Saccharomyces cerevisiae S288C: one gene and its partners. The gene in region 2 interacts genetically with the main gene of each other region. Each region holds a gene or a part of one and is shown on either strand. Other genes may lie near its edges.

Region 1 (7,887 bases), on a different chromosome or scaffold from region 2:
TCAAAGAAACTTTGTTGGAATTAGCTCATACTTTATATTCAGACCTCAGGTTTTTAGCACCATCAATTTTGGAAACTAGATGTAGGCCGTACCAAAGTATAAGGGGTAAGCTACACCCTCTGATGACCATGAAAGGTGGTGGTGGATATCTAATGTGGTGTCACAGAGTCATCCCTGCTCCTGAACCTGTATCGGAAAACGCGACTGCAGCTGACTCCAGTGAAAAGCTTGCTGAACATGGAGCTAAGAAACAAAAAATATAAATGTCCACAGAGTGTTCCGTTTGATAACTTCCAACAAAAAAACCTGAGAATATATATATTTACATTTATATACTTAGTTGCAATTAGCTTTGTGCCCACTGAGTGCGGTTGCTAAATGTCTTATAGTCCCAAAGGATGCAAAAATCTGGTGTAGTATTCGCCCTTTGGGAGTGGCCTTAAACCCATATACGACTCTTGCTTTCCCATTCGAGTCATATTTCAAACCAATAGACCAAATACGGCTGAGATATGAATCTTCTTTAATGCGCCTCTCCACGTAATTAAACTGTTCAACGTCTCCAATCTCATAAAAGAAGGAGTCTGTCTTCGGCAGCCAATAATTTACTAGATTTATATAGCATTCAAGCTCACCCACTAGCGCTAGCCTTGGTTCGAACAGCTTTACGGAAGTTTTAACATCTCTATTGAAGTCACGCTTTCGAATGTAGGGGGGGTTACCGGTTAATATATCTATATGGGATGGATATTCATCGCTAGCTTTTGAGGACAATATATTATGTTGCACGAGCTTACCACCACTCACCTTGTTTTTCAGCATATTTTCTTTAACCAACTTAATTGCTCTTGTTGACACGTCAATGGCAGTGAACGTGCAATTTGCTATACCATGACTCAAAGCGAGAGCAATACACCCTGTTCCTGTAAACGTATCACAAATATGCAGTGGTATAGTATGCCTTGAAAGCATAGAGTTGTTTAGAGCTCTTATTATGGCCATCACCCATTCCTCGGTTTCCCATCTTGGTATAAGAACACCAGGCTTGCAAACTATGTCCAAGGCCCCAAACGGTTGCGATCTTAAGATGTACTGCAATGGGACGTGTTTGTATCTCTGTAAGCAAGCCCAGCGGATTGATTTATCCGGAGGCAGCTCTTCGGTGAGCCATTTGTACTCGAGTTTCGCTTGCTCGAGAGTCCTACATTCTGGAAGCAAAAGATGCAAACCAGGTCGTATTCTCGAAGCTTTTCTTATCAATGATGTAGATATTCGAGGCATATGTTCTTTCTAACCGTTTCTTTTTCGTTCCTACCATTCAACTATCGCTCCTTGTCTACGAGTTAAGGGGAAGAGAGTGCAGAGTTTCTAAAAGCACTTGAAAACGTAACAAGACATTGACCGTAGAGAGTCGGCAAAATAAAGTCGTTTATACACGTTTGAGTTGTGTGTATTCAACTATGGAATACATTGTTATAATGAGTATGTTGGTATAAAATAAGATGTGAAGTCGCTGGTTTGAGCACGTGATATACACCTGACCTATAATATTTCGTACAAAATTATAGAAGGCCATCGAAAAAATAGAAAATTTTTTCATTTCTTTTTCAAGAAATGAAAAGGCAATAGAGCATCGGCAGGTATGGAAAGTATTTAACTTGCAGATCAATCCACGTACTTATAAAACGTGTAAAAACTTGCTCTACGTTTATATGTTGGTTAGGTAGTTCTTGTTTGATAAGGTGTGTAGTTCGTTTTTATAAATCAAAGTCACAAAAAGTCCTTTTCCCCATATATATTAGGCCCGAACAAGCGTCTTATTTGATAACTGTTACGTATTTATTTTTTTGTTATTTGTTACCATATCTTTTGATAGAACATAATTAAAAATTATCCAAACTGAATTCTACATCTTCCAACAACAATAATAAACGTCCAAAGATGGTTAAAGAAACTAAGTTTTACGATATTCTAGGTGTTCCAGTAACTGCCACTGATGTCGAAATTAAGAAAGCTTATAGAAAATGCGCCTTAAAATACCATCCAGATAAGAATCCAAGTGAGGAAGCTGCAGAAAAGTTCAAAGAAGCTTCAGCAGCCTATGAAATTTTATCAGATCCTGAAAAGAGAGATATATATGACCAATTTGGTGAAGATGGTCTAAGTGGTGCTGGTGGCGCTGGCGGATTCCCAGGTGGTGGATTCGGTTTTGGTGACGATATCTTTTCCCAATTCTTTGGTGCTGGTGGCGCACAAAGACCAAGAGGTCCCCAAAGAGGTAAAGATATCAAGCATGAAATTTCTGCCTCACTTGAAGAATTATATAAGGGTAGGACAGCTAAGTTAGCCCTTAACAAACAGATCCTATGTAAAGAATGTGAAGGTCGTGGTGGTAAGAAAGGCGCCGTCAAGAAGTGTACCAGCTGTAATGGTCAAGGTATTAAATTTGTAACAAGACAAATGGGTCCAATGATCCAAAGATTCCAAACAGAGTGTGATGTCTGTCACGGTACTGGTGATATCATTGATCCTAAGGATCGTTGTAAATCTTGTAACGGTAAGAAAGTTGAAAACGAAAGGAAGATCCTAGAAGTCCATGTCGAACCAGGTATGAAAGATGGTCAAAGAATCGTTTTCAAAGGTGAAGCTGACCAAGCCCCAGATGTCATTCCAGGTGATGTTGTCTTCATAGTTTCTGAGAGACCACACAAGAGCTTCAAGAGAGATGGTGATGATTTAGTATATGAGGCTGAAATTGATCTATTGACTGCTATCGCTGGTGGTGAATTTGCATTGGAACATGTTTCTGGTGATTGGTTAAAGGTCGGTATTGTTCCAGGTGAAGTTATTGCCCCAGGTATGCGTAAGGTCATCGAAGGTAAAGGTATGCCAATTCCAAAATACGGTGGCTATGGTAATTTAATCATCAAATTTACTATCAAGTTCCCAGAAAACCATTTCACATCAGAAGAAAACTTGAAGAAGTTAGAAGAAATTTTGCCTCCAAGAATTGTCCCAGCCATTCCAAAGAAAGCTACTGTGGACGAATGTGTACTCGCAGACTTTGACCCAGCCAAATACAACAGAACACGGGCCTCCAGGGGTGGTGCAAACTATGATTCCGATGAAGAAGAACAAGGTGGCGAAGGTGTTCAATGTGCATCTCAATGATTTTCTTGATAAAAAAAGATCAACTTATTCACGATTCATTTATTCATCATACTTTTCACTTCAAAATACAGTTTTGTAGCTATACATATGTAAAGTAATAATGGTAGAAAATGCAGTTTACCAAAAAAAGTTCTAATTATGACGAAATCTTAAGGAAAGAGTAAAGCAGGGATTATATGCTGAAATTTCCACTGTATATATTTGCCACAGAAAACCATTTTTTGTATTAGGTATATTTAGTGCACCTTTAACATGTCAATAATTCAACGGAAAATTAACGAAGTAAATAATACATTAATTAGGAAAAATTTACATGAAAGTCTATAAGCTGTTTATAAAAAAAATATGCAGGGATAAGTGTCTATCAAATTGAAGAATGCCAATTAATTATGATTATCGTTCTGGTCTCTTTTTGTTCCCTTTTTGGCTTTGACTGCCAAGGTGTTTAACCAAGACTGTCTTTGTTGTTTCAATAATCTATCCTCCCTCCACTTCATACCATATTTCATCGGAATAAACATTAAGAAGTTGAAGAAAAATACCAGCGCACATAAAAATGTAAAAGTACCACCTACAGTCATCGCAGCTTTCATTTTGGCAAAGCAACCCATGAAGATGGTACTCAAACTGCACCTAACAAAGTTGAAACAACTACTTGCTGTAGATGATTTCGTTGGGTACAAATCGACCAATAACGTAGTTGATGTTGATAATGTACTCATAGCACAGTATGAACAGACAAATGAAGTAATTAAAATAGATTCGATCCTCCAGCCCTTATCTATACTCCAACCAAATAAAAGATAGGCTACGACGGCCAAGAAATTTTGGGGCAGAAGACAAACTAAACGGACTTTGAACATATTAATCTCTGCGTCTTGTGGAATCAACCCGTTAGCTTTGTCTTGCTCGAATTTCTTGATCTTTCTCTTGAAATACATGTCAATAATTCTACCTGTGAAGAAGGAACCCATTAAACCGCCAATACCACCGGGTAGATAACACACACCAATAATGACCAAATGATAGTTGTATGGCGCCACTGATAAACCGGATGAAATAGAGGAAAGCATTAACGTCCACATAGCAAATAAGAGCCCTGATGGAAATAAAGACAGAATAATTTCTGGCAATACAAGGATCTTCCCGGCGGATGACAAATCTAGTTTCGGAATGGTGGGATCTAATGTCTCATAATCAGGATTATCGTACTTGAATCTCCTTCTAACTGGGCCCAGTAGGAAAATCGGCGCTCTGTTGATGAATCTTTTAGGCTTAATGGAAAGGTTACCTGCAATGGTTCGCTTTGTTTCTGGCAAAATAAGAAAGGCAATTAGAAAACAACTTCCACAACCAATGGTCAAAAACCAAAAGATAGCTCTCCAATCCCACCTTGCAGTCAGGACGGCACCAATAAGACTACCAAAACATTGACCCAGTAAAACAAACCCTGAGGTGGCGCCAACAAATGTACCTCTTTCATGCTTCAAAGTGAAGTCCCCGACAACACCAGAACTGATTGCAATTGTGGGGGAAATACCAATACTCTGAATACACCTCAAGAAGATAATAACACCGTATGATGGAGCACATGCTAGCCCGATGGATGCAATAACGTATATCAGCATACCTGCTAAAATTATAGGTCTCCGTCCAAAGCAATCCGCCAGACCACCGCTAACTGTGGGAGATATACCTTGAAACAACAGATACACAACCACAGTAACGTTAACCATATTTTCATCCACATTAAATTGCTTTTCCAACTGCCTCAAAGCGGGATAATAGATCGGTGATCCCAATGAAGACCAAAAGCCACACATTGTTAGAATTGCAACCATTCCCCACTTCTGACCGTAACTTAGTAAAGTATATGGCGCTTTTGTCTCTGCAGTTATCTGTTGGGTTGGATCAACTTTATCATCACTGGAGTGAGAAGAAGTCTCAGAGTCTAAATCGCCTTCTATTTCCCTTGTGGTAGTCTTGGATAGAGTCCCGTGACTGTTGATATAAGCGCCTTCGAAATTTAGTTTTTCACTTTTCGTTTGACCATCTGGTTTTGTGTATTCTCTCGTCAGATGCTGCTCATTGTGAGTAGGATACATCTCAATATCTTCTGTGTATATACTGTTACTTCGTGACATTGCTGATTCGACTTTCTGAATCTAGCTTGGATTCTCAAAAAAATAAATTTATCTCCGTATAAATGCTAACTTTGTAAGCCTGGAAAAATCCATAATTTTATATAGAACGACAATATTAGCAATAAAAAGTTAGTAAAAAGTGTATAACCTTGACAGTGTTAAGCGTTATATAATATTGAGTATGATCAACTGTATCCTCGATGAGGGCAGAGAAGTTTCTTTTTCCTTGCCCTAAGGTGCCCGCAACTTCCCGGTGACGAGAAAAAGAAACGTTGGAACGGCTTCTCGTCTGAAGAAAACAATGCAGGCCGGGCATTTCACGGAACAAAAACGGTTCCATCAAGCCGGGTGATTCATAAATTATCCGATACCGGAACAAATCGGTGAGAGATTTTCCGATGGAGGACGGGTAACGAGCCGGTATTTACCGATCTATGGAGTTTCCGAGTCATTACGGGTCCTTTTGTTTTCGTGTATGCTCCCTTCCCCGTAAGAAGTATACGTAGGAAGTGCGGTCTGCGCTGGACAGTATAAAACGGAAACAGGAGTCATCGAGGGGCTCCGGATTTTTTTTTCTTTTTTTAGCATTTAGCCTAATTGCACATTGTGAATAGATTGCCGTAGTAGAAAAAAGCCTTAGGAGTAGATAGCATACGGCAACAGAACTACAAAAAAAAAAAAAAGAGATTTGATGTCTTTTTTTTTTTTTTGGGTGGTTTTTAGGACAATGAAAGAAGAGGTGTGCGATGTATGTAGGTTTTCAAATGTCTTTAATATTACAAAATAATTTATGTCTGGAAGAATGATAAATAGAAACAAAGTAAAAAAAAATTGATATTAATCCGGCGTGGGTTTTAGTGTATGTTAAACAGACAATAAAATGGACGGGCAGAAAAGAATGGGGTAATAATACAATCAACTTACTCAACTGTTGATGCGCCTAAGTTTAGTTGTATAGAACAAACTTAGCTTTGCCAGCAGTAACGGAAACGGTACAACCGTCAGAGCCACCGCTGAAGCTACCGTTTTCATAGATACATTCACCGTTGACTGTAGAAGAGTCATCAGCGGCGACAATTTTGACATTGAAATTCAATGCGTTACCGTTGTTTGGGTTGGGAATCAAAGAAAGGTAGGCGACACCATCAGAAGAACCAGCGCCAAAGTTCAATGGAGCCCAATTACCGACGCCTGAACTTGAAGAACCCCAAACACAAGCATCTTCGACAGAAATACCGGCATTGTTAACGTAGTATTGCGCGGATGTCTTCAATCCTTGCCAAGTGTAGTAGGTGTCCTGATCAACGACAGTCAAGGGTAAAGAGTCACCTGCTTGCACATATGTAGGAATCACCATGTTTTCGGTACCCGGGTAATCGGTCCTGCAGATAGCAACATCGTTGCTCAATTCAGAGACGACGTAAGCGGCATCAACGCCCCATTCGCATAAATAGTCAGTATCTGTATTTGAACGGTACAGGTAGCCGTCCTTACATAGCAAACCACCAATGGATCTGCCGTCAGATGGTTGGTCAGAAGGCCATTGTGTCTTGGACATACCTGGTTGGCAAGCGTATGAGCAGTAAGACCCTTCTTTACAAGAGCCACCCGTAGAAGTGTCAGTATTTTCAACACCAGACCAGCCACCTTCATCTAACCAGCTGATGGGGATAACACCTTGACCAGATGGAAATTGGCCGCAAGGAATGGTACCGTCTTCAAATTTTTCATATGGACCTGAAAAGTCAGCCAAATCACCGTAGATACTTCCAGTTGCACTGGAAGCTGCTGAAGATGTGGAAGCTGACCCAGATGTGGAAATAGGCACAGAGGATTCGCTAGTAGAAGTTTCTGAAGATGTCAGAGTTGTTTGAGCCGAAGACGAGGTGGTAGCGATTTGTTCAGTACTCTCAGAAGAAGAAGCAACTTTGGAAGAAGACTTGGTGACCGAAGATTCGGAAATCAGAGTAGTAGTGGAAGCAACTGTAGAAGAGGCTTCAGTTGAGGTTGGAGTGACGGTCTGACCATTTTTATCGACAGTGACTGTTTCGTAAACGTATGTAACTGCAACGGCCCTCTTATGCTGGTGTGAACCATGAGCAGTAGTAGTACATCCTGTGTCAATATCAGCCGCATACGGCAAAGCGGAAACGATTGTGCTATAACCGATCAATGAAGCCGCGGTAAGAGTGGTGGCGGACAGTTTCATTTTATCAAATTACTAAAATAAATTTGGGATGGGTTAGTAAATAAAATCATTGCGAAAAGAGTAGGATTGCAAATTTTCTAAGATTAGTGCTAATTGAATCAATCAATATTGTTTTAGTTTCTACAATGGCTATATCTCGAGAAGTCAGAAACTTATTTTCGCGCCGTAAATCCGACGGCCAAAAAAGCCAAAAAGAAGTTGTGCACGGAAAAATAACGGGCATGTAAAAATTTGCTTTATTCTCGAAAAATGACGATGCACCGAAGCGAAAAAAGCACAGCAATTTCGTAATCAGTGGAATAATTTGCAAACTCAAAATATAGTAACATGAAAGGTCTTATCATTAAATTAAACATACGACTT
Region 2 (5,208 bases):
CGGTGTCGAGGCCGATGCTGGCAGGAGCAATGTTAAAGTAAAGGACGAAGATCCTAATGAATATAATGAATTTCCCTTAAGAGCTATTCCAAAGGAGGATTTAGAAAACATGAGGACACATCTTTTGAAGTTTCAGAGTAAAAAAAAGATAAACCCTGTAACAGACTTCCATCTTCCCGTAAGACTGCATAGGAAGGATACGAGAAACTTGCAGTTTCAGCTAACAAGAGCAGAAATTGTTCAAAGGCAAAAAGAAATTTCTGAGTATAAAAAAAAAGCAGAGCAAGAAAGAAGTACTCCTAACTCGGGTGGTATGAATAAATCAGGAACGGTCTCGCTCAATAATACTGTTAAAGATGGGTCTCAGACACCTACTGTTGATTCAGTTACTAAAGACAACACGGCCAACGGTGTGAACTCCTCCATTCCTACTGTAACTGGCTCTTCTGTCCCTCCTGCTAGTCCTACTACTGTATCCGCCGTTGAAAGTAATGGACTGTCAAATGGTTCAACTAGTGCAGCTAACGGTTTGGATGGCAATGCATCTACAGCGAATCTAGCTAACGGAAGGCCGTTAGTGACAAAACTAGAGGATGCAGGCCCAGCTGAAGACCCTACTAAAGTTGGAATGGTCAAGTACGACGGAAAAGAAGTGACTAACGAACCGGAATTTGAAGAAGGAACTATGGATCCACTAGCAGATGTGGCACCAGATGGAGGCGGTAGGGCCAAACGAGGAAATTTGAGAAGGAAAACTCGTCAATTAAAAGTTCTTGATGAGAACGCCAAAAAGCTGAGATTTGAGGAATTTTATCCATGGGTTATGGAAGATTTTGATGGGTACAATACATGGGTGGGTTCTTATGAAGCAGGTAACTCAGATTCTTATGTCTTGTTAAGTGTAGAAGATGATGGAAGTTTTACCATGATTCCTGCTGATAAGGTTTATAAGTTTACCGCAAGAAATAAATATGCTACTTTGACCATTGACGAAGCAGAAAAAAGAATGGACAAAAAAAGTGGTGAAGTGCCACGTTGGTTGATGAAGCATTTGGATAATATAGGTACAACTACAACTAGATATGACAGAACAAGAAGAAAGCTTAAAGCCGTCGCTGATCAACAAGCTATGGATGAAGATGATCGTGATGACAATTCAGAAGTAGAGTTAGATTATGATGAAGAGTTTGCCGATGATGAGGAGGCACCTATTATAGATGGTAATGAACAAGAAAATAAAGAATCAGAACAAAGAATCAAGAAGGAGATGCTGCAAGCTAATGCGATGGGGCTTCGTGATGAAGAAGCTCCTTCCGAAAACGAAGAAGATGAGTTATTTGGGGAAAAGAAGATTGATGAGGATGGTGAAAGAATTAAGAAGGCATTACAAAAGACAGAACTTGCAGCACTATACTCATCGGATGAAAATGAGATCAACCCATACTTATCTGAATCCGATATTGAAAACAAAGAGAATGAATCGCCCGTTAAAAAGGAAGAAGATTCGGACACTCTATCCAAATCCAAGAGATCTTCTCCAAAGAAACAGCAAAAGAAAGCTACAAATGCGCATGTGCATAAAGAGCCAACTTTGAGGGTGAAAAGTATTAAAAACTGTGTCATTATCTTGAAGGGGGATAAGAAAATACTGAAAAGCTTCCCAGAGGGAGAATGGAATCCACAGACGACAAAAGCTGTAGATAGTAGTAATAATGCATCGAATACAGTGCCTTCGCCAATCAAACAAGAGGAAGGCTTGAATTCTACAGTGGCAGAAAGGGAAGAAACTCCAGCGCCTACAATAACAGAAAAAGATATCATCGAGGCTATTGGTGATGGCAAAGTCAATATCAAAGAGTTTGGAAAGTTCATCAGAAGAAAATATCCTGGCGCAGAGAATAAAAAGCTAATGTTTGCCATTGTAAAAAAATTGTGTCGAAAGGTTGGCAATGACCACATGGAATTAAAGAAAGAGTAGGTTAGTTTATAATGTTATGTACTTAATAGGTTATTTAGTTTTCGTTCTTTTCATTCTTTCCTTTTTCTTTCCATTTAATCTTATGTAGTTACATTATACTGTCATTTTAGTTGCAGTAAGTATACTTTTTTATCTAGTCTTTTTTTCTGCCTTTTTTTTGAGAAAAGACTCAGAATTCTACTAAACTCTAATATATTGTTATTTCTGTATTATACAATTCTATGCTATGTGAACTGTCCTTGAAAGTGACCTAGGCCACTTCGACAATTTCATCTTCTTCGTCGTCATCTTCTTCTTCTTCACTCTCCTCCTCTTCTTCCTCTTCCGCATTCTTTGATGGCATCTCTTCCACTGCTCCCGCACCTGGCTCGCCTCTCATTAACATATTAACAATTCTGTAACATAATTCACCAATATCTTCATTCTCAACGTTTTTATGCAGCTCCCTCACTAGTGGATAAACGGACTTGTCTCTTAAGTATTCTCTTCCAGCATGCGTTGTACATAGCAAAAGAATACTTTCTAAATGACAGCATATAATTGCAGGAATCGGGTCTCTTTCCTTGTCCTCTGGTAATAATTGAAGTTCATCTGGTAAATTGAACATATCTTCCTCATCAATTTCAGAATCTTTAGCACTAGCAATAGGTAGCAGGATGTAAGGCAACAAGTTTATTTTTTCATCTTTGAGTAACCTTTCATGAGTTTCAGAATCAAATAGGGAATTTTTAATTGTGGAAGCGACACCTTCTCTTCTTACCTTTGCATCATATTTTTCGGTAAATACTAGCAATTTTGAAATAGGAACAACCCCATCGTATTCCTGCTCTTCAATAAAATACATCCTGCCCAATTTAAACCTCGAGATATCCGCAAAAAAAAAGGCTAAATAATTGAAACTGGCATATTTTGTTAATTTTTTATCATAACCCTTAACAAAGCAATCCATTAAACAATCCATGGCTCTCAAACTTTTGAAAACTTCTTTATTTAAAGCTGCTAACTTCAAACCATCATCGACCTCCTCACCGCTTGAATTCCTTTTGATATTCAGAACAGCAAGAATGCCGTCATCCTTGGCTAAGTTGCTTAATAAGATACACATTATATCGGCATTTGGATTGGTTAAATCGACAATTTTCCAAACCAAAAATTTTAAGAACTTCTTGTCATCGCTCAATATAATATTTCTTACTAACTTGTCTTCAGATAAATTGACCAATATAGTGACACCTTGCTGAATAATAACACGGGTGCCGTGTTCTGGATCCATGATCATTTTTATTATATCCTTAATGGGTCTGTAGCTATCATTTTTGAAAACTTTTGAAGTGGGACCAGCACTAAATCCAACTAGATTATCAATGGCAATCTGTCTTACGGCAGGTTGTGGTGAATGCAGAAATTCCACTAATTCATTCAATTGTGAAGTCATCACTCAATTTTTTGTTGATTTTTTTGAGCTATTTTTAATTTTTAAATTAAATTGATACCGTTTTAAGAAGAATAAACTTGTCGTTATTAGAGTAGGTGCGTCATAAATTGATGGATGAGATGAGAGAGCTCAATATGAAAAAATGAAAAAAAAAAAAATTTGAAAAAGCCCTTCGAGGAAGAATAGGGAAAAATCTACAATAATAATTATCGTCTGGGGTGATAACAGAACACATCGAAAGGTAGCACTACCAGTAACATCCCAATTGGCTCTGCAGCTATTAGATGAAATATACTGCGAATTGCGAATCAAGACATCTATTTTTTATTCTTGTTAGTTTTCGCGGTAACAAGTGGAGCAATTGCTACATACTCGATGTATGAAGAGCTTCAGTAAAATAATATCATAACATTATCGCCATTTTTTTGGTACTTGTTTTTCCATAAGTGACAGATGTCAAGATTAAAAAAGAATATATTTACTCAACCTGAGAACCTGCTAGTTTTATATTACCTTTTATATATTAATGTTACAATTGGCTCTACCTGAAGTTGTGTTGTCATTGCTATGGAATCTGGCAGGACACCAAAAAGTCACCTATGCGGGAGATGAAGGCATATTTATTCACTAAAATCTCCTTGACGGTTTCCCCTTATATTGAAAATGTGATAACTCCTCTTCAATGCTTAGAATTACGTTTCTTAAGTGATTTTCTGCGTGCTGTTCCAGATGGCTTTCTATCAAATTCCTTATTTCAACAATCTTTTCAGTCATCGGCAAAGCTTGATTGGAAGCTTGACCGCTATTTAACAGTAAATCAAATATAACGCCCCATATTTCTTTTTTCCAATACCTTTTGAATGGGTTCTTCAATTTGCATCGTCCATTCTGCAGCTGGATTGTTTCTATGAATTTTCCAAAAAGCATCGAATGTATGACGCCTGCTAATCCATAATAATCCGCTTCATAACTCCATGGCTTGCCCGCACGCATTTCCCAGCAATCTTGCTGATCAGCCTTCCAATTTGATTTGAATTTCGTTCCAGGTGGTAACAGTGTCATATCAAATGATCTACCGAAATCTATTAAATAGATTCCCTTGTTTTCCCAGCCATCCTCTCCATTGCGCATATAATGAGCACCCAGGGGTTCGCCTGGTTTTTCTAATCTGATCATGCAGTTATCTGGTTTCAAATCGCCATGTATTATTCCCACTTCATGTATCTTTTCAAGTACTTTCATTAGCTCGACAGTGATAAACATGCACAAATATTCATCCATTATTCCGTTGCCGTCAATTGCCTTTTCCCGTTGTAAATTAATTAAATCCAAGACCGTACCTTGACTGGCGTAGTTTAAAACAAGGTAGCTCTCATCAAGGAACAAGTGTAAAGCACTAGCGTTGATTATTGACTTTAATATTGTGCTCTTCCTCAACCTAAACTCCACTTGGCTCATTATGTAATATTCCCATACACTTGCAGGTTTTTCTACTTTCAACGCTCGCAGATGTCCTTGACTAGATTCTGCTAGATATACAGTGGCATAACCTCCTTCGCCTAATTCTCCGCGTATACAATATAAATCACCCGTCTTCTTGAAGTCAACAATTGGGTTCTTGTTTTCGTTGCGGGATACCCTATGGATTTTTTTCAATAGAGAACTCATTTTCAATTCTTGGTTGTAGTTATAAAAGGTGTTATATTGGAATAATGGGGGCGAAATTTCGGATAAAAACTTCGCTCTTAAATTATTACTAAGTGGGTTTTCAATAATGACAGGCGGTTGATTTTTT
Region 3 (8,618 bases), on a different chromosome or scaffold from region 2:
CTGTTTCATCGAGTCAGGCGGTAAGATTGAACCATCTGTCGCTGGATATTGAACCAAACAACCAGATACGTCGGGGTTCTTTAAAACATCCACAGCTTTCTTGATATCCGAACAGTCAACTTCAATAATTTCAATATTGAACGGCTTGGCTCTGGTGTGAAGGACACTCTTTGTTTGCTGGTGTAATTTTTTATCTATTACGTATTTTAGTTTCTTTTTTCTGGAAATATTGAATGACAAGAGCATAGCTTCTCCAGCCGCTGTACCCTCATCCAACAATGAGGCGTTCGCCACAGGCAAACCAGTCAAATCTGAAACAACCGTTTGAAAGTTTAATAGCGCTTCTAGCCTACCTTGAGAAATTTCGGGTTGATAGGGCGTATAAGAAGTATACCATTCTGGACTTTCTAGCAGGTTTCTTTGTATAACCGGTGGTAAAATCGTACCGTAGTAACCCTTACCTATGAAATTTTTAACTTTATAGTGGTTCTTATTGGCAATCTTTTCTAGATGTTGAAGCATTTCTTGTTCACAGAATCCCTTACTAGGAGCTTCTAGTTTCAAGGGTCTTCTCTTCAAAATATTGGGAGGAACGAGCTCTTCTATAAATGCGTTTAAATCGCTATAACCCATTGTTTTTAACATTTTCTTAACGTCGCTAGGAGAAGGACCTAAATGACGTCTAGCAAAAGTATCTAGCGGTCTATCAATGTTTTTCAAGTCAGGATTGAAAATCCTGCTGTACTGTGTAGACGTTATGTCTGTAGCGGCTGTTTTGAGCAAAATAGATTGAGAATGGAATGATCTAGTCCTCGCTAATGAAACATAATTGGTGCTTGACCTGACAGTAGCCCTACAAAGGAGAGCAGTCACTCTTGTCCTAAGCATGTTATCTTCCTGGTATTAGGAAACGTTTTTCCAATAAACTGTGGTTAGTTGATGGTTAGATCGCGCAGCAATCAATACAGTAAGATTGGTACACACGAGAAAGACTAATTCACTGGAACTTGAAGAGAAGAAAATTGTGCCACTCGAGCCTGCTATATATACATCCATTTATATTCGTTGGAGATCTTTCGACTAGCTTATCAAGGTCCTTCACAGCTCAATGCTGACTTCGATGACTCCTCTGAGAGTCATGACTCCGAAAAGGAGGAGTCTATACCTCAAGAAGAGTCAGAGATGTCGGGTAACGATTCAACCGGGTAACATGATTGTTATTTCATAAGATTAGAATTCTGAAGCAATTTGGGATTGTGCCAAACCAATGCGAGCATCAAACTGTTAGAGGAAATCCACAAATAAGGCCAAACAGAAGTAAACTCAGGGAGTTGAATTCGGGTTAGAGATTTCAAAAGTCAAATCAAGATCAGTTAAACTGTAATGGCTCGCCAAAATTTTTTAGGCTTGGTCGTCTCCCAAGGGAAGATGCAAAAGACGGTTAAAGTACGTGTAGAAACAAAAGTCTTTAATAAGAAAATCAACAAGGAGTTATTTCATAGAAGAGATTATTTAGTGCATGATGAAGGTGAAATATCAAGGGAGGGTGATTTAGTAAGGATAGAAGCGACGAGGCCGCTTTCAAAGAGGAAGTTTTTTGCCATTGCAGAAATTATTAGAAACAAGGGTCAACAATTTGCATTATACGAATCAGAAGCTCAGTTAAGCGTTGCAAAAGAAGAAGCCCAAAAGGCAAAAGAATTTTTGGATAAAAGATCAGTGAGGGAGAATAAACTAAATGAAAAAACAACCCTTTTACGTGATATTAGGACCATCCAAGATGCTTTATCTAGCGGGTCAACGCCGAAAGAGTTATTGGAGATTAAACAAAGGTACGGCATTCAAGATTTTTCACAAGAAACAGTGAGGCAACTTTTACAGTTAGACATCTCTGGATTGGAGGTTAATTTGGAGAAACAAAGAAGTCTCATTGATCGTATTCAAACGCGATTATCCGAATTGTTGTCGAATGATCTAAAATGTGATCAATTTTTGAAGGATCATGGTGTTGAGGATCCTTTGACCTTGAAAAAAAACATCAAAAAAAATTTGTTAAGAAAGCACGTCATGATGGATATGCAACAACCAAGCCAGTAAATAAAAGAAAGAGGAAAGCCGAGTGTCATATTTTCTCAACTAAAGCACTACACTCTGTAAATATATACAACTACAAGACTTCGTTACGTAAATAGTAAAGTGTTATGTTTTGACTTTAAAATATTCTAGTGAAAAGAACGATGTTTTTGATTTTCTATCGTTTAACGCATTTATATATTTTCAGGCAAGTGATATCGAAGATGTGAGTACATCGCTCGTCCCCATCGTCAAAAACAAAAGTAAATAAAAGAGCTCTGCTCTGATTTTACAAACAAGAAAATTCCAAGGAAATAGTCCAAGTTTTATATGACCCCACCTCATTTTTTTTTATCTCTCATAAAAAAAAGATGCATATGCTGGATATGTTTGGAAGAATCCACATATGACTCTACATGGCTACAGCACACGTGCGGTTGCAACTTACAAATTCATAAACGCTGCTATATAAGATGGCTCTATCAAATGCATGTTGAACTTTTTCTTCCGAACACAGTGGACCTACCAAAGGATGCTGATTTACCTATAATCACCTGTTTAAAATGTCTCGTTGATGGGCACCATGATTTTATGACGACTTTCTCTCTTACAGAAATATGGGAAACTCGTCCCATTTGGGGGCAAAAATCAGTACCGTTTCAAAATGACTACGTGTTCAATCTAATGTCTCTTTATACCAAACGGGATAATCATCCACCTTATGTGTTAGTGAAATTTGGCGAATGTCCTCAATGCAAGAAAACAAATTTCATAAAAAGACCTACAGTAACCATCCAGTCTTCTGTACTATCCCTGTTTTATCAGTGGCAAAAAATTACACGATACGTGATACCATTAGGGATAACTAGTTTATTTCTTTTAAACCCTGAAAAGACAAGTTTTGACATTGGATTATGGCAACTACGCTGCCTTTTCCCTGAGAATGTTCTACGAAATATGTTAAACATCAGCACTACAAAGGCATTGGACGTATATGCGCAAACTGAACGTGGCTTATTAAGCATTCCTTTAACCTCCTCGATCATAATATATGGGTTCATACATTATCTTAGCAACATTTCTAACGTCAGTGCTAATGCAATACTCTTTAAGTGGGTGTATCTCAGTATTGTAAAAACTGCTGGAAACAAATATTACAAGGGTATAGGTTTACCTAAAATAATTTTGTATTCTAACTTGGCTACATTTTGCTATAATTTTACCTTTAAAAGATTGGTTGACTTAATTTACAGGAGGCTGATCAATAAAGGAGGTAAGTATTTGTATCACGGAAATTTTGAAAACTCTAGTAATAGCGTTCCAGCTGAGGAATTTTTTATCAGGCGGAATTGGTATGCTATTCTTGCAGAAAAGATACTATGGCCCTTTGTTGGTAAATGTACAGGAGGTCTTCTATTGAATGCTTTTCTATGGATACAGAGAAAGTTTAAAATTGAATGGACGCCGAATTGCTCCCCTTCGGAATTTAGAATGATTTTCAATATTATAGGTTGTGGTACTGCTGCTATAGGCTGGTCAAGTCTGAAGCTCTATGCCAGTTACAAAAGATGTCAGGAACTTGAAAAGATCAATGAATTTATTGAACAAAGTTGCAAAGGTGAGTAAATAAGTCATTCGTAAGTGTACACTAAACTTTAAGGACAGCTGGTAGGACAATTTTATGGTCATTTGACAGCTGATGTCTTAAATTGTGTGCTATGGTTCATGTTTACATTAAGACCAACTTTTTTAAAGGCGCGTAAAGCAGAATCATTATTACAAATAGTAAAAATAAGTAAACAAATTTATATAATATATAAAACATGAAGGCGAAAAAAGAGATTAATCAACTTCTTCCATCTCGGTGTCAGCTGGAACCTCTTCAACTGGAGCTTCGGTAGAAGCTTCTGGAGCGGTTTCTGTTTCTTCATCCTCATCAATGTTCAAACCTAAAGAAATCAATCTATTTATTCTTGATGCAAAAGAAGTTGGTTCTTCCAAACTGAAACCAGAAGTCAACAAAGCGGTCTCGAATAATAAGTTAGTCAAATCTTTGACGGTCTTATCTTGTGCACCACCCTCATCAACTCTCTTTTTCAATTCCTTAATAATTGGAGATTTTGGAGAAATTTCGAAAGTCTTCTTGGAAGACATGTAGGAGGACATGGAAGAGTCTCTCAAGGCTTGAGCCTTCATGATTCTTTCCATGTTAGCAGACCAGCCGAATTGACCAGTTCTGATGGCAGCTGGAGCATCTAGCAATTTGTAAGAAACAACAACCTTCTCCACTTGGTCACCCAAGATATCCTTCAAGGCCTTGGTCAATGGTTCGTATTCTTTGATCTCCTTCTCTCTTTCAGCTTTTTCTTCGTCTGTTTCTTCCAATTCGAAATCTTTAGTAATGTCAACCAAAGTTTTACCCTCGAATTCCTTCAATTGAGTGAAAGCGTATTCATCAATTGGGTCGGTCAAGAACAAAACTTCAAAGTTCTTAGCCTTCAAGGCGTCCAAGAATGGAGACTTTTCGACTGCCTTTAGAGATTCACCGGTGATGTAATAGATGTTCTTTTGGTGTTCTGGCATTCTAGTAACGTAATCAGTCAAGGAAGTCAATTCATCGACAGATTTAGTAGAATTGTAACGTAGCAACTTAGCTAAAGCAGCTCTGTTTTGAGTGTCCTCATGTACACCCAGCTTAATGTTCTTAGCGAAGGCAGAGTAAAATTTGTCAAATTGCTCGGAGTCTTCAGCGATTTCGTTGAAGGCTTCAATCAATTTCTTGACAATATTCTTTCTAATAACCTTCATAATCTTATTTTGTTGTAACATTTCTCTGGACAAATTCAATGGTAAATCTTCAGAGTCAACAACACCCTTGACGAAAGATAACCACTCTGGAATCAAGTCTTCAGCTTCATCAGTGATGAAGACACGACGAACGTACAACTTGATATTGTTCTTCTTCTTCTTACTCTCAAATAAGTCGAATGGTGCTCTCTTTGGAATGAACAAGATAGCTCTAAATTCCAATTGACCTTCAACAGAGAAATGCTTAACGTACAATGGGTCTTCCCAGTCGTTAGAAATAGACTTATAGAAAGCATTGTATTCCTCTTGAGTGATATCAGATGGGTTTCTAGTCCATAATGGCTTAGTCTTGTTCAACTCTTCTAATTCTTGAACCTCTTCTTTAACTTTTTTGGTTTTTGGCTTCTTTTCTTCTTCTTCTTCATCGACTTCTTCCAATTTTGGTTTCTTGTCATCTTCATCCTTCTTTTCCTCGTCTTTCTTTTCTTCTTCTGGAATTGGAACTTCCTTTTCGACTTCCTTGGTGACTAGAAGTTGGATAGGGTAAGCAACGAATTCAGAATGTCTCTTGATGACTTCTTTAATTCTCTTTTCTTCCAAGTACTCCAATTGGTCATCTTTCAAGAATAATCTCAAGACGGTACCTCTACCAATTCTTTCGTTAACTTCGTCCAAAGTAACGGTGAAAGAACCACCGGCATTAGATTCCCAAATATATTGTTCGTCCTCATTGTTCTTGGAAATAACTTGAACTCTGTCGGCGACTAAGAATAAAGAGTAAAAACCAACACCGAATTGACCAATCATGGATACATCGGCACCAGCAGATAGAGCTTCCATGAAAGCTTTAGTACCAGACTTAGCAATGGTACCCAAATTGTTAATCAATTCAGCCTTGGTCATACCAATACCAGAATCTCTGATTTCCAAAACTTTTTCTTCTGGTTTTGGGGTGATTCTAATGAACAAATCTGGTTCGGTTTCCAATTGCTTTGGATCAGACAAAGCTTGGTATCTAATTTTGTCTAAAGCATCGGAGGCGTTAGAGATCAGTTCTCTCAAGAAAATTTCCTTGTTAGAATAGACAGTGTTGATGATCAAACTCATCAACTGAGTGATTTCAGCTTGAAATTCAAAAGTTTCACCAGCCATATTTCAGAATGATTCTATTTTTCTATTGGTTCTGTAGCGTTTCAAGAAAAAGAAAACAAGAGAAAGAATATATCACAAAAAATATAATGCATGTGTTCATGTCACTTACGGTAGGCAGTTCACATGCCACTCTTTTTATACAAATCTCCTCCCTCATTACCCAACGCTTGGTGGAAGTTCGAGAAAACGAGAAAAATTGTTCTTTCACCTTCTAGAAAGAAAAGTGCCCAGAAAACAGAAAGGCGGGTAATAAAATGCATCGGCGGCTATTTTAACTTTCTATTGGTAATGGCTGCTGTTCTATGAATACAAAAAGAAAGAATATAAAAGAACGTAAATATTAATTTTGCCTAAGAAGCAAATTATAATCAAATGCGTAATGGGTTATAAACTATCTAGTACGGTTAAAAGCTTGTCAATCTGTTCACAAACCATGTAATCTTCATCTTGATCACGAACGTAAGATAATAGTGTTTTTAGCTTATCGTAGTTGTACTCAAAGGGAAGTAAATCAAATCCTGTACTGTACAACAAATCATGTATCAAGTGTACGGCACTTCTTCTCATCAAAAAAGAATCATCCTTGTCCTTCAAATGATTTTGTGGTTGTTCTAATTGCAATATTCCAAATACACAATCCAGCATATCGCGAATTCTATCCGAGACACCCCTGGCGTTGATTTGAAGGCACATACCTAAGATTGACATGGATGACATACGCCATCTATTGTCCAATGGTTTACTATCATTTGGCCTCACAATACTAAGACAGGTATCTATAATCAGATAAGCCAATTTACCCTGGAACAATTCGTTCTGACGTTGAATGTAATTGATGAACACTTCTCCAACTTTCAGCACATCATCTAATCTGTTTTTCTTTTTTTTGTTAGCATAAAATTCTGCAAGTAGAGGCAATATGGTTTCTGGCTCTAATTCACATAGCGTTGTAAGTCCTTTAATAACGTTGAGATAAATGAAAGGGTCCATATTCTTTAAATAATCTAAATGTATTTGCAACACCTTTTCCAGTGAAATTACTGGAGACTTCTTTTCAGCTAGATGACGTAGTTCTGTTAAACCATAAGATTTTATGGGCACTAAAGGATCATGTAGACTAGTTATCGCTTTGTCAAGCCTTTCCTCATCCATCTCAATTTCTATGTTGTCGTTCCTTTCCGTAGTATGTCCGTTAATCAATATATTATCTATTGATGCCAATAATGCATCTATTTCGGAAGCATTAGTGTTGAAAGATTGTAATTTTCTAGAAATGGATTTCAATATATAACTGTTTTGCAATAATATACTACTGGACGATTCTGAAAGGACGGTTGATAATAACTGCAAGATAATTTTGTAGGAAGAATTTTCATTTGGATCCAATTCTTCTGTTTCTTCTCCTTCTTCAACTTCGTCGTCAGAATCTGCTTCTACTTCCTGTATTGTTTCATCTTTTTCCTGAACAACATCTATCAATTGATCAATAACAATAAGAACGTCCTTAGGTTTATTAACAATCTTGGTTTTAAATCGGTTGTTCATACATTCCAAAAGTTTCAAGTCCATGAGTATTAACGCGTTATCTGTAACGCTTGGCATCCCGCTATGATTATCGGAAGATCTTTTTTCACTTTTTTTTGTATGATGGACCCATCTTTTCAGAATATCTAAAAATAAAGTCTTTGATTGTTCCTCATCATTTAGCAGCACTAAAAATTCCATAAATAATTCTATCGAAAGGTCCATATCTTGAAGAAACTCAGAAATTTGAGAGTTTTTGGATCCTTTTTCGAAAAACAACTCTGCCATATCTGTGTTTTTAACCGATATGTAGGGTAGCTGAGTATCAAGATCAATTAAATACTTCCATTTCTCGTGCTCAAAATTCAGTAAGTTAAGGCTCAGTACATTTAGATATTGAAAATTTTCTGTTATGACTATTAGAGATTTTAATAATGATAATACAACCTCGTAATACTTTGAGGAAGATTGCTCTGGAAAATGTATGCTGTCTGTGCTTTTATTATCTGAAATAGACAATTTGTTTATTTCTAATGGGTCTAGTTTTTGGTTTTTCTTCAAAAAAAGAGCATATATCCATACATATAAAAAGAACTGTCCAGGCGTAGTACCGTCTTCATCAGGGCAACTAGTAACTAAATCATTCAGCAAATCCGATGAAGAATTTTTGGATAAAGATATAAGAACGTTTATAACATCGTTCAGTTCCTTTGCTGTATGATCAGTTAACGGGGAATTAAAGATAATGGAGCGGACCTTCTTAAACAAAAAATCGTTAACAATCCTCTTATTCCTCAGGTAAAATTTAAGGATTAGTCCGTTCAAACAAGTGACCAGGATAGGCCTGTTCACAAAGGTGAGACCATCATAAATTTGCTTGAATAGTTCCGTCAAGTATTGCAAATTTGTCATTGTTTTTGGCTTACTCATCAAAATTTGGTAGATACGGTTAAACTTTTCAATATCTATATCTTCAGCATCTCTCACACCCAAAACGAAATCAATCAAGCTGATCAGACCATTTTCCGGTCTTCGTAGAGTTAACGTTGTTAACTTCGAAA
Region 4 (8,637 bases), on a different chromosome or scaffold from region 2:
GTCCAGACGCCACTCCTTAATGACCATTCCCGAAAAGTACTCTGGTAGTCGCTACAGTCTCCGATCATCCCCGCCTACCTATTCTAATCCACGTGTTAGGAAGGAACTTACTCCTTTCCAATTACAAAGAAAGCAGATGAAAAGCGCTTTTCAATTCCCCAACGGTGAAAATTTCACGCCAAGAAACCAGATAGCAAGGCTTCCGCCATCTTCGACTTTTCCCGACTCTCCTTCTAGTTCATCGTTGCCTTTGACCCAGACTGGAGGCCCATCTTCCGCAGATAACGATTCCATTGCCACTGGCACGAACAATCGTTCTCCTCAACAAACGAAAGCTGCTGATGCTAATCAGAAATCTGAATCCGAGTCTCCAAAGGCAATTAGATCAAATTCTAAAAAGATATCTCGTTTCTTCAGGAAAATCTGGTCGTCCAAGTCATCAAATTCTGCAGATTCCGTAGAAGAGAATAGCAAAACAAAGCAGAAAAGGAAAAATCCGGAGAGAGTTGTACCAGAACCGATAACGTCCCTTGACCAACCGGTTGAAATTATAAAACAGAGTTTTTCAACCGTTAACAATCACGAAACGGCTGTACCTTCAATTAAGGACTCTGGCATAGTACAAGAATTGACAGCACTCGGAGATAATAACAGGATACCAGTTCTTCCACCCCCTAGGTCACCAAACAGACCTACACTGTCTGATAAACGAACTACAAAGTTATACTACTGTAGTCAAGATTCGTCTAATGAAGATATTGCTCCAGAGGAAAAGAGCACCGTTTTCTTAAAGCGTTTGCAGGATGAATGGTCTACCGTGTATTTAAACAAATTGCCTTTGACTGCTTCTGTGCCATCTTCTCTCTCTACCACTACTGATGCTGCGAACTCTTCGTTCATAAACTCTTCAATATCATCGCCGGCTCCTTCTTCTTCGTCCTCGTCATCGTTGGTTTCCCGTGGACCAATGCAATCCATATCTTCTTCGCCAACACCTGCCCCTTCTTCAGGGTCATCGAAATCTAAAAATGCCGTCAAATCCTTACGCTTTGCGGATGAGATTTATGTAAACGATACGTGGTCCGCCGCGGACTATTGCAGGTGTGATAATACCTTTTTGAATAATTTCTTTAAAGGAAAGAGCCAAGACATTACCAATCCTTCTACTTTTGTCGGTAATAATCTCTCATCCACAAAAAATATATCCAATATTGAAATCAAAATGGAGGTGAATGAGTTCAAAAGAAAGGAAATGCGCGTTCACCAGGATAGCGCTAAGTATACACATTACTACTTATAACGGGTTCATCAAGCTTTTTTCCTTCTTGAGACTCTGTTGTATCTCTTTATATATTCTATTTTATTTTATATGCATCGAACTTTTTACGTAAGATAAATACTTACTACATTTTGGATAATTGTTTTAACAGGTTAATTTCTATAATCTATTTTTTATCTGCTCTTATAGCATTCAAATATTTGCAGCGGTAAAAAATTATGGTTAAGACCCGCGCGACTGTAAAAATAGCGCGTAAGATTTCCCTGAAGAGCGATGAGTTTTAACATTTAAAAGATATGTCTGAGATCAATCGCTTTTTTACCAGCTACCTAACTTTATAACCTTAACCGATAATTAGAATTTTTTACAGTGATTATCTAAGAGTGTTAATGAAGTTTTTATTGATGGATGCTTGCTTAACGCGGGGGCTCGAAAATTACTTAATCACATTTTTATCGCCTATGGACATACTGATAGGGAATATTTGAATTATATCATTTCGAATAATGTTCAGAATATAGTGCTGTGGTAATAATCTTAAGATGATAAATTTTAATTCACATAAAAAACTGTAATACCAATGTAGGTATTTACATCGTAATTTCTGGGGATCTCGTACAGGTTTACATGCCCCATTATACCAATAACAAAATGGGAGAGATTTAAAAATGGACTGTTCAACCAGTGGTGCAATGTAAGGTGAAGGGCTATTTGTAGAGAATGTGGATTTTGATGTAATTGTTGGGATTCCATTGTGATTAAGGCTATAATATTAGGTATGTAGATATACTAGAAGTTCTCCTCTAGGATTTAGGAATCCATAAAAGGGAATCTGCAATTCTACACAATTCTATAAATATTATTATCATCGTTTTATATGTTAATATTCATTGATCCTATTACATTATCAATCCTTGCGTTTCAGCTTCCACTAATTTAGATGACTATTTCTCATCATTTGCGTCATCTTCTAACACCGTATATGATAATATACTAGTAACGTAAATACTAGTTAGTAGATGATAGTTGATTTTTATTCCAACACTATTAATCATACAAATACTTTGAAAACTTCTTTAAATAATCTCATAAATCTTTACATTGAACTAGGATGATAAAAGTGAGCTTAACGTCAATAAATCCCACTGAACCAAAAATATGAGTAAGTAGTAGTACATTACGATACAGTTCGATTCACCTTTCTCCGGTATCTGTCACCTAGAAAACTTACGAACCGCAATGTTAAGGCAAATTCAAATCTAACAAATGAATTCCACTGTTGTTATGTTTGCATGCATCTAGGTGCGTTGTGGTCCACGAGATAACAACCTTAATGTCTCTTGGTTGATCACTACTTTGGCAGCGATCTTAATTTGTTTATATATTTTGACTTTATTGATTACTTGTTTAAATGAGTTGCTTGAATTGTTAACGAATTTACAATATTCGGAGCCCTAAAAAATTCATGAATTTAATCCGATATAGTGTAACGGCTATCACATCACGCTTTCACCGTGGAGACCGGGGTTCGACTCCCCGTATCGGAGTATTCGTTATATTTTTTCAATCGCTTACGATCAAAAGCTTTGAAAACATTTTTTTTACCGTGTAATGTAATTTTTATTTCGATATCAGATTTATGTATGCATGAAAATTATAGAAAAAGTTGAAATTACACATAAGTTTATTTCGTTATGGTATCAATATCACCATTTCTTAAAAGATCCGCCACCTCTTTGGCAAAAAAATCTGTGAAGACGTCCAAGTACATTACGTCTGCGACTTGATCCTTAGCAAACTTTCCATTTTCTGCCAATTCAGTTATAGTTTCATAATATTTGGAATATGATTGTGTAATTAACTCTTGCACAGCGTCTAATAAATTAGTAACAATCTCTTGATCATCGATATAGTTCAATATCTGTTCATATATTCTTGGTAATCTGGCCTTTATATTCTCTCTTAATTTTACGTTTTTGCTTAACAGATCTTCATCACTATTGATATCTAAAGTGTCATCAATAAGCTCCAAAGAAGTGCTTTCAGTAAAATCTTTAATGACGTTTCTCAATTCAGATATGAGTTCCGTACGGGCGTCCACCATATTGTTTACAACTTTTGGAACCAGCTCTCTTGCCAGGGTCAATATTGAAGATGACTTTGTCTTTTTCAAAACGTTTCTACCATTTTCTTTAAGTGATTTGAAAAACCCCTCAACACCAGAAAAATCCAGATAAGTTTCATTAACTGTATATTGAATATTAAAGTTCTGTATGGAATCACGTAACATCAACAAATTTTTTAGGTACGCTAATGAAATATCTAAGTTGTTAAAATCAGATTTTCCCGCTGAAGATTTGATAACCATATCATAGGCATTTCTCAAGGATACAATACAGTCGTGGACTACATGGTGAGCTAAATCATCAAATACCACAGAATTGATCATTTCATAAATTTTGGACAATAAAGCCAAAGTCTTTAACAAGGGCGGATAATATGTTTGCAACTGTGAAATTTTATCAGTAGATTCTTCTGAATCAATACTTTTATCGTCTGCATCATTAGGGGATATGGGCAATATGCTTCTATTCTTGAAAGAAGATAAATAAGATTCTAACAAGGGATCTGGATTGTCATCACTAGTAGTAGCATCTTCGTTACCCCCTTGTAAGCTGGTCTTCGATTTTCTCCTTCTATTTGAAATCATGAAAACGTCCCTAGTGGGCCTATAGCTCAAAATATTTTGTTGGACATATATTTGCACTCTTAAAATTAATCTAGCCTGCACTTTTTGGACAATCGGTTCGAATAGTTTATCATACTGAATGTCGGTAAACTGCTTCACGTATTCTTCTGAACCTTCTTCAAATTCATAATATGGAGCAAACAAAGTCACTGAGTCACACAAAGTACAAATATCTGTCTCTTTCAAAACCCTGACTCTAATGGAGTCATAAAGGGGTTCACATAACTGTAAGAACCACTGATTAATCTTGAAACGACATTCCTTTTCAGGGAAAAATTCTACGAAAAGTTTGTATTCGTCCGCGCATAACTGCTGAAAATAAACCTTACCGTCTTGAATGAATTTGACCAAGCCCTGGTCCTTATCTTTAACAACAATTTCATCAATGTGTGACCAAATGACCGGAGTTAGCAGTCTTAAACGTGTTTGGAAATAGTGGTTGAAACACTCGTAAAGAATGGAATTCAGTTCATCGTGATACTTGTTGTAGGCTTTTTCGTTGCTTCTCTTAACAATTTCCGAAACCTGAATTTTGAAAGTATCAGCTATGGTATAGAATTTACTGTACAAGAAGGCGTCTCTTGTAGTCGACGGCAACCCAGTTAACGAATTTTTGTTTTTGGTTTTATCCAAAATTTCTTGATTTGTTTGTTTCAACAGATTCGTTAAAAAGTGAGATATCAATTCACAGGCTCTGATCAAGCATTGCTTGAACTTGATTCTGTACGCTGCCGCATCCTTGAGGTCACTATTCTCATCCAAAAAACGTAAAGACTCGTCGATAGTCGCCAACATTGTCGTAAAGGAGCTCTTCTTAACAATAGCGGGAGAAGTGGCATGGTTCAAGCGACGCATTATAGGGTCTAAAACTTCAAAATAATGGAGAGCTTTAGGGATTGACTCAGTTAGATTGCTTAATTTAGACTGCTTTTCATAGATCGTCTTCGTTTCCTCAATGAAAGCTCCAGTATCCTGAGAGATTTTCCGAAATTTCTTGATGGAACTATCCAATTGATCGTTAACCTGGCGTGTTTGATCCAGAACAACTTTATACTCGTCTATCTTAATGTTTAACTGGTCCAAATAGGTAGTATAATACAAATACTTGTTTGTCTTTTTTACATCCGCAGAAGTCGTAGCTTCAGAACCATTAACCTCTGAACAACCTTCTGAGACATCAGTTCTTTGCAGACTGTCAGAATTTTCCACAGCCAAAGATAGCTTTTTTAGCTTATCAAAAAGGTACGAATCGTCCAGTAAACCCACTATGGTCTGAGATTCTGGTATAGTCGGATGAGACGCAATATCTCGAACCAATGAATTCTTTCTACTTCTCGCCATCTTTGGATGTGTCGATAATTCGTGCAATATTGGGTAAAACAATTCATGCTGGGAGTATTTATTGTGTGTCTATAAAGCCAAGACTTTACATAACAATGGACGCAACGACTGCCGTTATACAGGGTAACCTCAATTTGCGCCTCTATATTCTATATTAATACTACTTATGATCCATCCGCAGCTGATACTTAGAGTTACGAGGCAGAGCATCGAAAAATCTGAGCCCACCATTAAGTTGCAATATAAGTACGAATTTTCCTGCTCTTCTCTCGTCTTTGGATTACTGTATTCATTGATAAATCTCTATTATTTTTTTCAGTTTTTCACTTTCTTTTCGAGCGATGGGAACGGCAAATCACGAAAATTTTCTGTCAACGTAGAAAGTAATGATGTGTTAATACTATCGAAAAGCTGTGGAATTGAAGAGCCCAGCCCAAAAAGTCTGCATGAATAGCGTAAAAAGAGTAAAGCTAAATTCAAAAATGTCCAAACAAATATGCACGCATTCCGGATCTTTTCACGCGGACGAGTCGTTGGCGGTATACATGTTAAGGCTACTACCCGAATTTAAAGATGCTAAGTTGGTTAGATCAAGAAATCCCAAGGACTGGGAGGCTAGTGACATTCTAGTGGATGTAGGAGCTCAGTATGACGGCGTGAAATTTTTTGACCACCACCAGCGTGGATTTTTCGAAACTTTCAACGAGAAATACAAGACTAAGCTCTCAAGTGCTGGTCTGATCTTCAAACACTACGGTCGTGACATTATCAAAACAATTTTGAACAACAAGGTTAGCAGCTCTGATTTAGATCTGCTCTATGACAAGGTATACAAACAATTTGTCGAGGCACTGGATGCAAACGACAACGGTATTAGCAAGTACACGATTCCTAAGGATTCCAACTTGGAACCGAATTTCAGGGATAACGCCATCAGCATTCCCGGGATTATTTCAGGTATGAATCCTAACTGGAACGAAGACACTTCCGATGAGTCTTTTGACAGATGCTTTGCTCGCGCAAGTGAGTTTATCGGTGGGGTCTTTGTCACATTGGTAAGAGGCTACGGTCAATCGTGGTTGCCAGCCAAGGCCCTTGTGGCGCAAGCCATTGATGAAAGAATGGATGTTGATAAGAGTGGCAAAATCATTGTCTTGCCCCAATTCTGTCCATGGAAGGAGCATCTATACGAGCTGGAAAGAGAGAAGAACATTGAAAAGCAAATCGAGTTTGTTCTCTTCACAGACTCTTCTGGTGCCTGGAGGGTATCTACTGTACCAATCAACTCCACCTCCTTCCAGTTTAGGAGAGGTTTGCCGGAGCCATTAAGAGGCCTCAGAGACGAAGAGCTGAGCACCAAGAGCGGTGTGCCAGGATGTATCTTCATTCATGCAGCAGGTTTCATTGGAGGTGCCAAGTCCAAAGAGGCTGTATATGAGCTGGCTAAGATGTCTTTGGCCTAGTCGGGAGCGAGCGCTCAGTCAGGTCCCTTATCTATTTAATAATATTTAACAATTCCACTATTTATTCTGTATAGTAAGTAAATCTTTAATGCAAGCAAAAATCTTCCCGCCGCGAATCCTGAAACATATTCCCCTCGGTGAAACACGCTCTTGAAAATGACCTGAGAACACAAGATATCAGACGGCTCTTGTTGCACAAAAAACAAAAACAAAAGAAGCAAGCTACGTTGCAGCCACTGGTACTGTCTGCTAACTCAAACATTCTTTTTCATTTTTAATATACAGATTTCGTATTCTCCCGTTCCCGCTATACGCAATTTTCTTTCTTTTTTTTCCCTCTTTGGTTAGGAGACTGCAGATCAGTCCCATTTTTTCCAACAGAACAAACAAGCAAACGTTTCAGTTTAAAAGAACACACGGTCGTCGTGCCTTTTCTGGATAGACACAAAAAAAACAAATAACGAAGCAGGAGTCTAATGAAAGGTCTTCTCTGGTCTAAGAACAGGAAATCTTCAACGGCCAGTGCTAGTTCAAGCTCAACTTCCACGTCTCATAAGACAACTACTGCGTCTACAGCATCGTCGTCGTCGCCGTCATCATCCTCTCAAACTATTCGAAACTCGACAAGCGGTGCTTCTCCATACATGCATTCCCACCATCACCATGGCCAGGGACACAGTCACCACAGAGGGGAAGACAACAACAGAGATAAGAGAAAAAGCTCCGTATTTCCACCCTCCAAGCAGTACACATCCACTAGTTCCAGTCAGGTGAACTTGGGGATGTATCATTCGGATACTAACACCAGATCTTCTAGAAGCATAGCCTCTACGCTAAAAGACGATTCTCCGTCTGTCTGCTCCGAAGATGAAATAAGCAATTCTTCTAGCCAGAAGTCCAATGCCCAGGATGAGACTCCCATTGCGTACAAGAAGAGTGCCCATTCGAAAGACTCATTGTTGCCTTCACGTTCCTCGTCTTTATCACCTCCTCAGTCTCGATGTAGCACTGGAACTACGCTAGAGAAATCGTTGAACACTTCAGGTATCAGTAACAGTAGCGGCACTAATAATAACAATAGCAATAATAACAACGATAACGAGCAAAAGCAAAGAAATGTTATCCACTTAAACTCTGAAAACTATGATACAACTGTTTTTAAGACTGGATGGGTTAATAAGTCCCATGGCCAGACTGTTGCTACAAACTATAATAGCTCAATGACAGCCCCTTCCTCTTCCTCTTCGTCCTCCTCTCAGAATCTCCGTAATGATGCGTATTCTAGAAACAGGGAAAGCAGGTTTTATGGGAACGACGGTTCGTCTTTAAAAAATGATGACAGCAGTAGTACTACGGCCACTAACAGTGGCAATGATGTGGCCTCAGCAAGAAGCAGCATGGCTATAGATCCTCAAATGCTAGTACCTGATTACCGTCTTTATAGGGCTCAATTGAAAGGTTGCGTTCTCAACCTTTACAAAAGTGGTTTGAATAGTAACATTAAGTTTTTTGATCCAACTTTACCAGCTTCAAATAGTAGTATAGCAAATGAAAACCATCAACAGAAAAAACAACAAACAAACAACCAAGCACAAGCGGAAGCTCTGCACCAAAAGCAATCATTTGGCCAAATGGGTGAACCTATTACACTGGACCTGAAGTATTTATCTGAAGTTTACCCGCACCCAGATTTAAGACAAGACAGTGATGGTAAAATTATATCAGGCACAATAGAAAGTTTATGTCACACAGTCTTATTTTACCCCGGTCCAAAGCAATCGGACGTACCTAATGAGAAATCATTA

The links.
Region 1: mutations in HGH1 (region 2) and YDJ1 together harm fitness more than expected from each alone (negative genetic interaction), as found in Saccharomyces cerevisiae (2 studies listed by BioGRID).
Region 3: mutations in HGH1 (region 2) and HSC82 impair growth when combined (synthetic growth defect), as found in Saccharomyces cerevisiae (3 studies listed by BioGRID, with this or other methods).
Region 4: mutations in HGH1 (region 2) and COG3 together harm fitness more than expected from each alone (negative genetic interaction), as found in Saccharomyces cerevisiae (3 studies listed by BioGRID).

Annotation. Positions count from the first base shown.
Region 1 is NC_001146.8:501,152-509,038, reverse strand, and holds YDJ1 (type I HSP40 co-chaperone YDJ1), read left to right. Parts: upstream 1-1,941; coding exon 1,942-3,171; downstream 3,172-7,887. Other genes in the region: tRNA 1-methyladenosine methyltransferase subunit GCD10, read left to right, coding at 1-263; MTQ1 (S-adenosylmethionine-dependent methyltransferase), read right to left, coding at 337-1,281; AQR1 (Aqr1p), read right to left, coding at 3,555-5,315; putative glucosidase SUN4, read right to left, coding at 6,262-7,524. UniProt on the Saccharomyces cerevisiae protein: Probably involved in mitochondrial protein import. Is also required for efficient translocation of pre-pro-alpha-factor. Involved in heme regulation of HAP1, as a component of the high-molecular-weight (HMC) complex.
Region 2 is NC_001139.9:868,004-873,211, forward strand, and holds HGH1 (Hgh1p), read right to left. Parts: upstream 3,414-5,208; coding exon 2,229-3,413; downstream 1-2,228. Other genes in the region: transcription factor IIF subunit TFG1, read left to right, coding at 1-1,978; protein kinase BUB1, read right to left, coding at 4,041-5,208.
Region 3 is NC_001145.3:629,770-638,387, reverse strand, and holds HSC82 (Hsp90 family chaperone HSC82), read right to left. Parts: upstream 6,034-8,618; coding exon 3,916-6,033; downstream 1-3,915. Other genes in the region: GCV2 (glycine decarboxylase subunit P), read right to left, coding at 1-888; mitochondrial 37S ribosomal protein uS17m MRPS17, read left to right, coding at 1,384-2,097; YMR187C (uncharacterized protein), read left to right, coding at 2,404-3,699; RTP1 (Rtp1p), read right to left, coding at 6,418-8,618. UniProt on the Saccharomyces cerevisiae protein: Molecular chaperone that promotes the maturation, structural maintenance and proper regulation of specific target proteins involved in cell cycle control and signal transduction such as CNA2. Undergoes a functional cycle that is linked to its ATPase activity.
Region 4 is NC_001137.3:481,520-490,156, reverse strand, and holds COG3 (Golgi transport complex subunit COG3), read right to left. Parts: upstream 5,370-8,637; coding exon 2,964-5,369; downstream 1-2,963. Other genes in the region: YER158C (uncharacterized protein), read left to right, coding at 1-1,300; MYG1 (Myg1p), read left to right, coding at 5,816-6,832; GTPase-activating protein BEM2, read left to right, coding at 7,309-8,637. UniProt on the Saccharomyces cerevisiae protein: Acts as a component of the peripheral membrane COG complex that is involved in intra-Golgi protein trafficking.